2 linked regions of the Neodiprion lecontei genome follow. The protein of the gene in region 2 interacts with the protein of the main gene of each other region in a pairwise test. Links are inferred from orthologs where the notes say so. Each region holds a gene or a part of one and is shown on either strand. Other genes may lie near its edges.

Region 1 (5,767 bases), on a different chromosome or scaffold from region 2:
TAATGCAACGTAGATAGAAGTATGCACAGACGTACGTACGAATTAGGACAAGAAGTCACCTTACCGCCTTTACGCCAATCGTGAGACTCCGCAGCTCTGATGTTAGGCCAGCGCCGATTTCCGTCGCCAGCCAGAGTTTGGTTTAATGGTCAAGCCCCGTAAAACTCCTCGAGTTCGAATTTTGCAAATTGTTAATCACCAGATTAAGATTTACAATTTTACCACTTGAAACACTGACAGTGAGACCATTGGAAAAGGAAATCGCTCCGCGACGCTTGAACTTTGGCGCTCCGATTTTTTTTCTTCTGCCCAAAAGAAACCTCTATCTCGATTCATTGAGTGAAGAATATTTCGGCGATTCAATGATCAGTTAAATTGGCTGATAGATAATTCCTTTTAAAAATCAGAAGCTCATGTCGAACTAGATCTTATTCTCTTGGATCGCTGTTAATTCTACCTTATCATATGCCGTACATTAAGCTGATAACAGCATTCTTTTTGAACAATTTAGATTCCCAAAGATAGATTTTTTCAGTTGATAAGTTTGAATGTGAGGGCGACATAATCTGCGAATATTGCATGTTTTTAGCTGCGTAAGTTGAAATAACAATACAGAATTAAATTTTTCTCGTTATATTATAAGTATAATTATTATTTACAGAAATATATGCTATGCATGTACATATGTGTACACTAAGTATAATTACCTACAACTCACTGTATAAAATTAAATGTAGTCTATTAATACAGATATGTATATGTATACACTATACTCGCGCTGACAACCAGTACACTCGATTTTTAGATAAAAAAAAAATCGTGATCTGATACTTATCAAACATAGATAAAATTAGTTGTAAAACAACTCTAATTCATTGATCTTAACCAATGATTGAAGGGAGGAAGAAAGATTGATCCGCGCAACAAATATTCACGGCCCATCGACTGCGATGAATGTGGTACTTACTAGCACTTACTAATGAACGTCGTAAGTAAATAGATTTAAAGGGCCACACCTAATACTACGATTTATCATACCATATTATCGTCAACACATACACATATGTATATAAGACCATAAAAATTTTACGGTATTATTACCGTCTGCAGATAGAACATATGAACGTAAAAAAAAAGTTACCGAATTCGCGATAGGTAGATAATTTCTAAAACGAAAACTTTACCTTGATGGAGACGACAAATTCGTATAAAATAATGTATACATATACGCTAGTATACATGTGGTTTTTATTCCTTCCGAATTGGGAACATAGGCAGAGTTGCAATTCATGTTGCACTCCGTATAAAAATACTTTCCTGCAGCATCGACGGCAGATTTAGGTGTAATGTGTTTTTGAGGGGCACACAGTTCGTTTAGAATGTGCCCAACCTAATCTCTTCGTTGTAATGCAAGGTTTGGAATCACGCTCGAACTGTTAGTGCAATGAGGAGTGATTCTCAAGGAGATCTCTAACACCAACAGTGAGAAGAGAGACGCTCCCTTTCCCATGTCGATTTACATGATAAGTTCAAAAAATGCTGGTTTTTTGCATTAGCGTTGACTAAAGATAGACATAAATAAACAAAAATATTTTCATAGAGCGGCAGGATTGGCAAAAGAGGGCGAGGAAGAGGAAAAGGCTCTTAACTTCTCACCAAATCAAAAGGACCAACCGTTGTCCGTTTGGTTGTAATTTCAGACAGAATTAAAGCACGGCCGTGCCAATACCCCGAGTTTGATATAGTCACGTGAATTGGTCCTCAATCCTACAGCTTTGTTGTTGGTTTTACATCGTCGGAAGACTTCGTATCTTCTGACAGCAATGCGTTCAAATCTAGGTCCTGAATATTGATTGGGTGTTGACTGGAGCCTGAGAAAAAAATTACCAATACTATACCGCATGATTTGTTGTTATAATTAGTGTACAAGACAAAACTTATCACGATATGCACTCCATACCTGCGTGGGCCAAAAACAGGTCTTTCAAAAATCCAAGCTCCTTGGTTAGCATCTTGATCTTCTCCTCCAACAATTCGTTTTCTGTTTTCAGCTGGTTAACTCGCTCCAAAGTTTGCTGCGTTCGTAATTTACTCTTTACCCTTGAACGCTTTACTGCCTACAGATTTTATAACAAAGGAAATATGATAAGTCAAATCGATGCAAATACAACTTGAAAATTTGTTACATTAAGAATGTCCAATAATGACCATTGATAAACACTGCACGTAAGCACAATGTTATAGAAATGAAAATATTTTACGAATCAGTGGGAAAATTTCAATCGGAAGGAAGGGGTCCCAGATGTAGTCACTGATGTAGTTCTATTTTACATTTTCGTTTTCTACTCCACGATTGTATATTACAGTAGTGTTATCTTATTGAGAAAAGTGGCGCAAGTACATTGTCCCGCAAACAATAAATATTCTGACATAACTGAATCTGCATCTACCTGATTGTTACGATCTCGTCTTCGCCTGTAGTCGTCGTCGTCATCTTCTTCAGAAATTGCTCGTTTCGACTTTTTCGACGGGTTCCCGGAGTTTTCCTTATTTTTGGGTGCCATCTGGAAAAAGAAAAACGGATTTTATTATTAAAAACGTTTGATTCATATGAAGAAATACTATTTGTTCAGGGTTTGCAAATCTTACAACATATACAGTCTTTACTGGTATATATTTGAAAAAATATAAATATTGAGCACCTCAGAAACTAGGATTTGAAGTGGTCGAATAAAAGCAAATTCCATGTTTCAAAATTTGATCACGTATCAACGATAATTAGTGGAATACCCTGATCGTATTGGCAAGGTATATTGTTCTCTATGAAATATCCAATTGGCAAATACTCTCAGTTATGCGTACGACACAAGGCGACTACTACCCCATGCTTTGAACATTTTTCATACCTTAATTTGGAAACAGGATTTGAATACATTCAACTGACGCTAAATTTTTTTGATCAAATATGTTATTACCAATTTCTAGCTGGTATGGTTTAGTTAATTTGGAGGGAAAAACTTAAATCCAATTAAACGGGATGAAGTCATAAACTAGAGCGTACCAATTTTTTATGCGATGATATCAATTCAACTGATAGTTGATTAATTCATTACTGAAATTTGTGGGCAAAAGTTTGTACAAAATTATGTTAGTAAGGTAATTTCTCAAAAGTTTCAGAAAATTCTGCAAGGACAATTATCGGTATGAAGTAAAAGAATTTGAAAAACGTTCACAACGGGTTTTGATTTCTAGTGGTACATAGATCAACATCCCAAGTCAACGTTTGGGTATTGATTTATCACTGCTAATCAACAGAAGTTATCTGATAATTTTGGCATTACGGCATTACCTATGACCATAATAATATGCAAAAAGTACCGAATACCAAACGCGTTCTCGCTAATTCTGCCCATGTGTTTCACGCTTCTACGTAAACTTATGGCGATGTGTGCGTTCTTGATCAAGCGATGATGCAAGATACACGCGGCTTGCTCGCGCTCGTGGGTTGCCAAAATTTGCCGCCATTTCATTCGAGGAAATCGAAATTTTACAAATAACTTTAAGCAATTTGAAGAATTTTAACAACAGAATTTATATTTTCAGGAATGAAATACAATTTCTCTACTCATTAACTGGAGTTTGGTATTGTTACACTTACTTTAGAGTCAATGTTTTTCAAATGCGTAATACTGATCAGTTAAGTGCACGACCATAACGCCATACCGTTTCAATCAACCCACTATCAGAAGCGAAAACTTCACAAATATTCGCCATCAATGAAGTATACGCACCACCGTCAGTTGCAGGGTATTCGCTTTGTTTTCTTATCAATGATTTGAGGCTGCTTCTCGCTGTTGACACACAAATTTCGTTCTTGAATGCCACCATAAACTCGACTGTTGCGATCCAATTGGATAGGTCAGAGATGACGCAATGCTAAAAGTGAACGACTGTCGTCTGTCTGGCCGTCACCGCGTTTGATTCAAGTCTCATATTGGCGGCCACATTCAAATTTCAAAAAGTTCGCACAATTCTAAAAGTAAAATTGAGCTGTGATTGATCTAGAGTACTTTGACTTATATGCCCTATCAAATATCTTAACCGTTATTAAACAAGAAGAATCTTGTCATGCCTATTTTTCCACTTATGTGTAAGACTATAAAAATAATTGATTGAGAACGGCCGGTCAGTATGCAGTTTACATTGTTAACTGAGAAACAGAGACATATCGTGTCCTCTTCTATTTTACGTGGTAGATAAAGATAGACTATGTATCATACCCAACCGAATTCGGAACGATATCCTTACCATTGACAATGAGTAACTATATTCTACCAAAGATCACGTGACGGCAAAGTTGAAAGGTAATGGACAATTCAAAGAATAGTCAAGAGTACACATGCCGCAATACCGACATGGTCAACTGGCGTACCGATATCAATGTCTTATCCTTTTCCATTCCACTCTTTGGACGAAGATAGAAAACACAACGCTACCGGCGGAACTCCTACATTGTTAATATTACCGATAATCACCCACTTCGCTCCCAGATCTAATTGTAAGTAAAAAATTGCCCAAGGATGGCATTTTTTAGTAGGATATACCCTAATTATCTTCATTTCTGAAGATTTATCATTTAACTAAAGATCCTTCAGTCAACGCTGGAACGCATGAACGACGCATGTTCTAAATATACCTATTATACTAACAATAAAGATAAATCTGAACTATTCTGATCCAATTTTGAGTGTACAAAAGATTGCTAACCTGTATTTATCTTAGATTATATTGAAATTCATAAGAGACCTATGTTTAAGTTGACGCGCTAATTTGTGATCAAGCATGGTCGACTTCGCCAGTCTCGCGGAGCAATCTTCACATAGCTCAGTGGTGCGCACCCATAGACTTATAAATCTATGTGCGCACCCTGTGAGTTGTCTGTTGTGTGCTCGATCAACGGTAAATACACATGGCAAGAGGGCGAGGAGGAGGGGAGAAGGGATTTGTCATTGGAAAATTAGAATTGTAATGAAAAGTGGGTGAAAAGTTGATGAAAAGCTTGTGGTGAAGCTGAGAACATGATTTCATTTTCGTTAGAAGTGCACTTGTGCCAATATTTCGTTTCAAAATGTGAACATGACCTTTAGAAATGACAAAGTCTGATGGAACTTGCCAAAATGACTCCCAAACGAAAGGTACGTAACCTGAAACATAAAATCCCATATAAACAGTTTGATTCGAGCGTAAGATTTCCACAACCAACGAAACTTTTGCGTAACCGAAATTTGGTCCACTCTCTTCGCTTTTCCGTTGATACAACATTAAACATATCTTGTATACGAAATACATTTAACCTAACCTAACCTACGAATACAGTACATATATAATACATATTTTCCTTCAATTTTTTAACTGGTGCAATGTTGCGTGCAGTCTGTCGCTTTGATGTAAAATTTACAGTGCATAATATTATGTGAACGATATATTTCATGAGCACGTTTCACATCAGTACACTAGATCGCAGGCTGCATTGGTCTCCTGTTGTCTCAGTCGTAGACGCTACAGAGTACAAAAATAGTCTAATAAATGCATGTGCCTAAAATACGGTCAACTAATCTTATGTCATTTATTCTTCATTTACTGTTATCACATATTTTTGTTATACATAATAGACAACCAGCTCGGAATCAACTTCAAGCAGTAGCTCAGGCTCATCGTCGAGCAGCTCATCGAGTTCAGGTAGCGAGTCAAGTTCTTCCGATTCTGA
Region 2 (7,755 bases):
TCGTCGAAGTCCACTAACTCGAATTCTGACAATGTTACGTAACCGCGTCGGTTGAAGTGAAAGTCATGGACAAGTTTCAAGTATCGGTAAAATTATTTATTCTTCCGGTATACAGACATGTCTATAATATATGAAAATAATATTTTGACAATCTCTACTTGAACAACGGACATGCATCAAGTTGAGATTCATGCTAAAATTTGTTTGTTAAAAAAATTAATAAATAAATAAAAAAGACGATCGTATCGGGAGACAGCAGAGTTCCACTCAGGTGAGCTTCATAGGGCTGCTCTCCTCCTACAATCTACCTTTTTACGATTTTTTTTTTCGGATATTGAACAATCTGATGACGTACATAAAGTTTAGGATATCTAATATAATCCAAGGCAACCCACTTATGGTCAAGTCGACCGATGAGGAAGCAGCAAGTGGCCGTTCGCTCTCTTTAGGTATATAACATGCATAATTATACATTTGTGATAACGTACGAGTATTTGAATGAGTGTTAGTTACAAATACGCGATGCCGAAACTAGGTACCGCGTAAAATAAGGAATAAGGTTGTTAAGTACCAACTACTAGTATAATATATATATATATATATATATATACATATATGTATATATACATGTGTGTGTGTGTGTGTGTAAAAGCAACGATCGTATACAAGAGTGATCGAAGAAATTATTTCATAAGTCCCTTGGCTTTGAATAGGTCCCTCATCAGCCCCTTGAGGCAACGAATCTCCCGCTGAAGATCACCAACTTGGCCCTGCAGTTTCTCATTGTAATTAGTCAGCTCCTGTACCTCCCCCACGATCTCTTTTATTTCTTGCTTTTTCTTCTGCCTGTAACGAGTTGCTGCGTTCTTATTCTGCTCTTTTTTGCGGACCTTTCTATCATCTGACGGTGGACGGGAGTAAGGTTTGCGATAACGATTCTTCGACACAACAGGTGTTGACGTGGTAGAAGGTGTAGCTTCGGGTGTCCACAATGGATCATCATTGGAATCCTCCTCAAAAGATACACAACTCGTATCAGAGCTAGTGGATAGACTTGATGATGATATATTCTTGGCACATGAGCGAACTATTTCGTCGACTGCTGCCAATTCGCTTGCGACGTCCCCCAGTGGTTCAAGAGAGATGTTCTCAGCACCCCATTGCGACAATGGGGCGACACTGGGTAAGGATGGAATTTCTTGAAATTGATCCTCGGGTTTGACCACAGAAACGCCCTGAGTTTGAAAAGTTGGTGATAGAGATATCAGTATTTTGGAATTTGTTGTGTTGTAGAATTTAGCAGGAGGTGACTGTGGTGGAGTCAATGCCGTGACAGGAGCTTGGTAACAGGCCTCTACATCACCCAGTACACTTTCAAATTCCTGTAGTAGGGTCCGAGTTGTTTCTTGTTGCTGCAACTGCGTTTGCAACTTTATTGTACCTGATGGTAGGATGGGCTGGCTGATCCCATAGTCCAAAGGTGATAGTTCTTCGAATATTGGTAGGTCAGTTTTCTCTTCAAGCCAGTCAGCAGAGGGTTCTGTGGTGAGAAAATATAATATCCCATAAATACAAATGGATGTAAATATATATTTTCATGCTGTAGATATTCGCACGGCAATGGGCGATGGTGTCATTGTATATGAAAAGAAAAATGGACGGTAATAAATATCGCAAAGCCTCAAGTACAACAACAGGGATTTCAAATGACCGTCTGACGAATAAAACTGAAGTGTTGCAAATGAAAGAATAACATGATAGAGATCACTGTACCTCTAAAAAGAATTATCCACAGAATCCCATTGATATAATATAAGGTCCAAATAATAAATAAAATACTACATCCTTTAGAAAAAAATTGATCATCTCCATATCAATTATTTCCAGTTTAGTGACAAGCCTCTTTTTTCTGTCAGAGATGATTCAACCATAAGAGAAATGTGATAAGTTTTTTTTTTTTGGCAATTCTACATGAATTTTCAAGGTGTTGACCATTTTGTTCAATTTATAGCAGTATCTTATTCTTGTATTTAATTCATTCCTATTAACATAATTTCACTACTTTCACGTAAGTTTGAATGTGTGCTGTGTATGTGCATGTTTTGATGCACACCTAATACTATGGGCCACCCATCTGTCCATCAATCTATCTCTTTATCTTTGAATGTGTTAACGTTTACAGTAAAGAAATATACATATATATGGCATTCCAGGGACACTGAATAACAAGTAGCTAGAAACTTGTTCATATTTTTATAAAAACTTAAGAATTCTAAACAGCATAACCAGTTAGAATTAAATATACCTATGTATTAAACTGATAGGTGAATAGAGTTGCTACTATTTTAGTCGTAGAAAATATTCCATTCACATTGTAAATATGTGAGGATATTTTCTGCAGACAGTAATATTATTAAAACAAATACAAGTAGCTGCCATCAATTTGGTTGTAGGTTGTATGGACAACGGGAAGAAGATATACAAAGTGTTTTTCATAGCAGTTTGTTTATTTGATCATTGTATTGCAAATATATGAAGAGTAGAGCAAGTGCATCAGTGCCAAGAGAATAGCAATGATAGTCATATTCAGAAAATGTGAAGTACAAGATATTAGAATTTGACAACAGCTACTGGGTAAGGTTTGTTGTTCAATAAATAACACGTTAGATATATATTTCAAGTAGGATGTACTTTCTATTATGAATTGGTATTTGACTGGACGAACTCCATTCATAGAGATAGAGATTAATTTATTTGTTACAAAGTCAGATAATATTTAACCTAAACTCATCAGATTTCCGAACAACCAACATTTTGTTGATTTTGCTAAGAGCTCGTAAACAGTGACCATAGATTCCGAGTTAGAGGGAATACAAAAAAAATGTCTACGACAACCGCCAAGTCCCTGACCTACTTTCAAATGAAACTTTGCTTCATATTGCTTTTCATACTGATTAACCAGGGAAATAATCTCAACTTTAATAACGGGGGCATGAGAGGTCAGATAAGGAAGTATTTACAGCCAAAACAGTACTTAGAACGATATAATAAAAAAGGTATTTCGAGACCATATGGAAATTGATCTATAAAGTTATTAGTATAAAAAGTGGACATTGGTATATATAGGAATTCAAAAAGATTTTGCTGATGCACAAATAAAATAATTATATCTTTACTATTACGATAGATAATGTGACAATGTGTTGTGATGTGTGAGAATAATGAATGGGTCAAGGAAGTCAAGTAGGTAAATGTGAAGGACAGCTCGTTCAAATCACTTATATTACAGCTTACAAAATTGTTAATCGGAACATAATAAAATCTCGCGTTTACGCAAAACATTTAGTCTATCGCAGGTTCAACAGAATAATCGAGACTACCAAGAATTCCTTAGTAGTCTATCTGATGGTAAATATAACTGTACAATGGTAAAAATGAGACGTTTATATGCAATGAATGTGTATATAATCACTGTTTGTCTTAAACATTTAGTACAAATATAATACGAAACATACCACGGAAGTACAAAGTAGCCATAATTTGAAAGGGTTCGTTGTTCCTGGAGATTCAGAAAGATGACAAGCAGGTAATATGGCAACAGGGTTGAGACTTAAATTCTTTATTGAGATTGTCTTGTGTCGTGAGGGATGGAAGGAGGCAATTACACTATTTGATGGTCGTAATAGAATCTGTGTGCCAGCAGCAACAATTCAGCGTCTTTTGACTAATTTCTGAGAGTTGACGATGATTTCCCTGTTCCACGTGTAATGGTACGTGAACTGCATGCTATTGTATAACATTAGCATGCGCCAACATCGAGAGGCAGAGCCTATGTCTGATTTTCCTTTTAAAACTGCCAGTATCACCAAATCCAGATCAATGTAGGGTCAAACAACGTTCAACACTCGCCTTCTAGTAGATATTCAAACAGAGTCAAACATAACTTTAGCACAAATTCCTGTTAAACATGTATCTCGTACTTTGGGTAAAGTCTTACACGTTGTTTTACTAGCACATTATCAGGACAAGCACTATGTCTCTGAACATGGACAAACACTATGTTTTTGGATCGAAATATGGTGGTAAAAGTTGTGTGGGGTAAATGAATAACTGTGCAAAAAGTGCCGTATGTTGAAGAACTGCGTTCACAATATTGAATATCGGGTGTAAGTTATGCTGCTGGAGAAACCAATAGACACACCACACCAGGCTTACACAAAGTCACTGAGGCAAAGAGGAGTGGGACGTGTATCATGTGGCCTCTACACAGGAGACTCGCATACTTATCTGTGAACTTTCCCCCCTCCCGTTTCTTTATTGCCTCCATCTCCCCTTCCTTCAGCCTCTTGCCCTCACTTCTACCAAGCTGGCTATATAAAGGCTAACCAGTTTGTTCCACTCTCCACTTTTCCCAATTTTGTTTTTTCCCATATTTTTATTTTTCAGTCAAATTGAAATCATATAGGTGATGTGCGAAAAAAAAAAAATTAACCTCATGTCATATAAATGATTCAGAGCTGTAAAGTAAAATTAGAGACAGTTTTGACAAAAAACGCTGATTGAATTAAAGCCATAGTAATAAATGCTACGGCAAGAGATTCCCATTTAATCATTAGAAGAAATACAATATGAATTAGAAATATCATTTCTCCTTACTTCTTGCCATGCTGTATGAAGGGAATGGCGCAATACTGTCTGCGCAGATTTCAAATATTTGTGCTGCACTTAAACATATTATGTGTATTGATTGGATACCTAGTGATGGATATTGGTTGTCGGATTGTTTACTTATACTCAACATGGTTGAAATTTATTTACTATCAAATTAAAGTGTCTGGTTTGAATAAGCATAGCGTCATTTGATTGATGAAATGCAACGTAGGCAAAATGAAAAAAAAGGCAGTGAAAGTTTTTATACAGTTGTAAAAATAATCAAAGATATCTTTCGTTATCTTCCAACAATTACCTTCTTTGATAAATTCTTCCAGTTGTTCTAAGAGTTTAGTAGCCACTTGCGCTCGTGATGTTTTCTCGTCCGCCTTTTCCGCCTCTTCCTCGTACATGACCTCTTCCCCATTGTTGCTGAGATTTTCAATGCTATCAAAGCTCAGCCAATCATTGAAAATGTCAGAGGTAGAAGTTTCAATGGGCGAAGCACGGGAATTGGGTGAAGCCGGTGATGAGGGCTCCGCCTTCAATACCCAGATTTTCTGATATTGATCGGTAGACATTGTTGGTATTTATCCGATCAAAAGATATGCTTGGATTATTATAAGGAATTTGAGTCGTCTTAGCGACGTCGCTTTTGTTGAACGCCATGTCGGCCCTGTAAATAATAAATGTGTGTCAATTCAGCTTGTAAGTTTCTCTAAACGTTCGTTCAAATCTAGATTGGCAGTCACTCGCAAAATGATTTCATTCATCTGTTCACCACGCCCTCATCATGCAGATTTGGCGAAAACCAATTTGAGCCATTTGGCCACGGTGATACTTTTACTCACATCAAGAGAACACTCAATCTAATCCAAATAATTTTCATCACAGGTGTCAAACCGAATTGGATATATTCAATGCAATAACAGATGAGATGGAATAAACGAATCGATGATTCGTTTTATTACTAAACTGAAGTGTTCTCCAAACTAAAATGCTTAATTAGCTCCAAGAGTTTATCAACCAGGATTTCAAAATTGGGTAATACTTGAATTTGTAGCATGGAAAGCGTGCGATTTCGCAATCTGAGGTAACGTTCACCAAATGGAGGGCATGGCGGTTCTTTCTCAAGTACCGTTTGATGTGAGCATCTGTATCGCTGATGTTATAAAGCAGATCAAATAAACAGAATGAAACATATAGCAACTTACCCCATGGTTATTATGATGTGATGGCACACTTGCGTGTGCAAAGTCGATTACCGACTAGAAACTCATCTTCACCCCTTTTTTAATAGAGCCAATAATAACGATGTCTTCTTTTCTGGTTTCATGGATGGAGAATGACTGATTTCTACGAACGTTGAGTCAATGAATTTCATGGTATCAGAGTCGACTCCTATTCGGACGGATGGTTACCATGGAATTGAGTTCGCTATTCGGTCGACAGATGTCGGAACAAGGGACTATATTCACAAAATTCATGCTACCGGACGCTGCGCGCCAAGCTGTGGGTAAATTCAAACGCTTATTTTCAACTTGGACATTCACGGAAATATTTGGGGAGCCACGGATAGAATGAAACGAACGAGTACACGATCACAAGTTGTTTTTTATCGGATTTATGATGATTGTCTCGCAGTTTCGACCATTCACTTTACTTCACAACTATAAATAGATCGTTACATGCGTGGATGAATAAAAAATGAAGTCGACTAGCTCGTGTGCTTACTGGAGGTAAAACAAACTTCTATGGCTATGATGCCTGGACGCTTGATCGACGTTGTTCGCTATAATCGACTGATGTCGCACAGCTTTTATGCTATCAAAAGATAAACAAGGACGAGATAATGTGCACGCAACTGTCAACGCAGCGCGCTAATTCGTCGATCAGAGTATAAATTTGACATTGAACGAAGATTAACTACGCGGATTCAGTTTGGAATCCCGTAGCTCGTAACCTTCCAACACCGGCGCGGAATGTAAATATTACCACACAGCCGCTCCTTTGCAAACAGAACACCCGCTTATGCCTCACGTATACGTACAACCGTTGAATTATACTCAAGGTAGTTCGAATCCATTACCACGCGGTCTGTACGCGTATCAAGGATGAACCCCACAGGTGCGCAAGGAGCAAGACCGCTGACAAAATCAGTGCGTATAGTATGAATTACGGTATGCACAAGGATGTGAGATCCTAGCTGTAATAGATTGTTAAAGATCACCTCGATATTTTCCGCGAGATTTCGGATATTCTGTTCAGTTTTCAACGCTACAAGTTTCATTCCAATCTACTACTAGCGTGGACTTTCTTTGTTCCTACTATAGTCATGATCGATGACGATTTCACAGCCACAATGGCAATGAGACTTTATTACATGTTTGCCCTGGGAAATGCGAAACCCATCAGCTTCGACGCAAGTGCCAACTGCACCGCGCCTCGGCGGAATATTCGGCAGGTTCTTGCAGAGGTGCGAATTATTTGACAATTTTGAACCGAACTTAATTCAGTCTCGATTGATTGTAACGATTTGCGGATCAACGAGCGCTGAGGAACTTTGGAGAAGACATATATCCCGAATGCTATATTGCTTTGAGTAATTAGTATAATTAAGGAACCAATTTTTAAAAAATACCGGAACAAACTAGTTAGATCTCTTGAAGTCATGGCCGATATTGAAAAAAAGCTTACATCGCTTTGTTTCATTTACAAAGAATACAAGAAAAACCATTCGCTTTAACGGAAGCCTGTACGAATTAAATCGTCAGGATCGTAAATTACTGCATAGCAGTGAAGTTATAGTTAGGGAGAAATGTGACTTTCGCTTGCGCGGAGGAGTCAAGTGAATTCTTTTCCATACATATTGATGACAGACCCATTTGTACAGCGAAAATTGGTCGCCCTTTCAAATTCGTGTGCATTGTCAGTAGATTAACAATCAGTACGCAAGACACTCTGGTTACGGGTGTTGATATTTTAATTGTTAAATCAATGAAGATTTTTTTAACGTGCGGTATTGTTTCATATTTCTGTGAAAAACCGTAAAGTCTTCGATACATCTATCAAATTTGGATACCTTTAAGCACGCTCGTGAAAGGT

Evidence for each region.
Region 1: the proteins of activating transcription factor of chaperone (region 2) and CCAAT/enhancer-binding protein gamma interact in a two-hybrid assay, tested with the Drosophila melanogaster proteins (2 studies listed by BioGRID, with this or other methods). The link is inferred for Neodiprion lecontei from reciprocal best matches to the Drosophila melanogaster genes crc and Irbp18.

Annotation. Positions count from the first base shown.
Region 1 is NC_060262.1:41,866,203-41,871,969, reverse strand, and holds CCAAT/enhancer-binding protein gamma, read right to left. Parts: upstream 3,950-5,767; 5' UTR 3,792-3,949; exon of another isoform or gene 3,659-3,791; intron 2,565-3,658; coding exon 2,451-2,564; intron 2,118-2,450; coding exon 1,961-2,117; intron 1,872-1,960; coding exon 1,768-1,871; 3' UTR 618-1,767; downstream 1-617. Other genes in the region: histone acetyltransferase KAT7, read left to right, coding at 5,163-5,195, 5,673-5,767.
Region 2 is NC_060261.1:30,601,184-30,608,938, forward strand, and holds activating transcription factor of chaperone, read right to left. Parts: upstream 6,022-7,755; 5' UTR 5,865-6,021; intron 5,327-5,864; 5' UTR 5,232-5,326; coding exon 4,967-5,231; intron 1,541-4,966; coding exon 684-1,540; 3' UTR 82-683; downstream 1-81.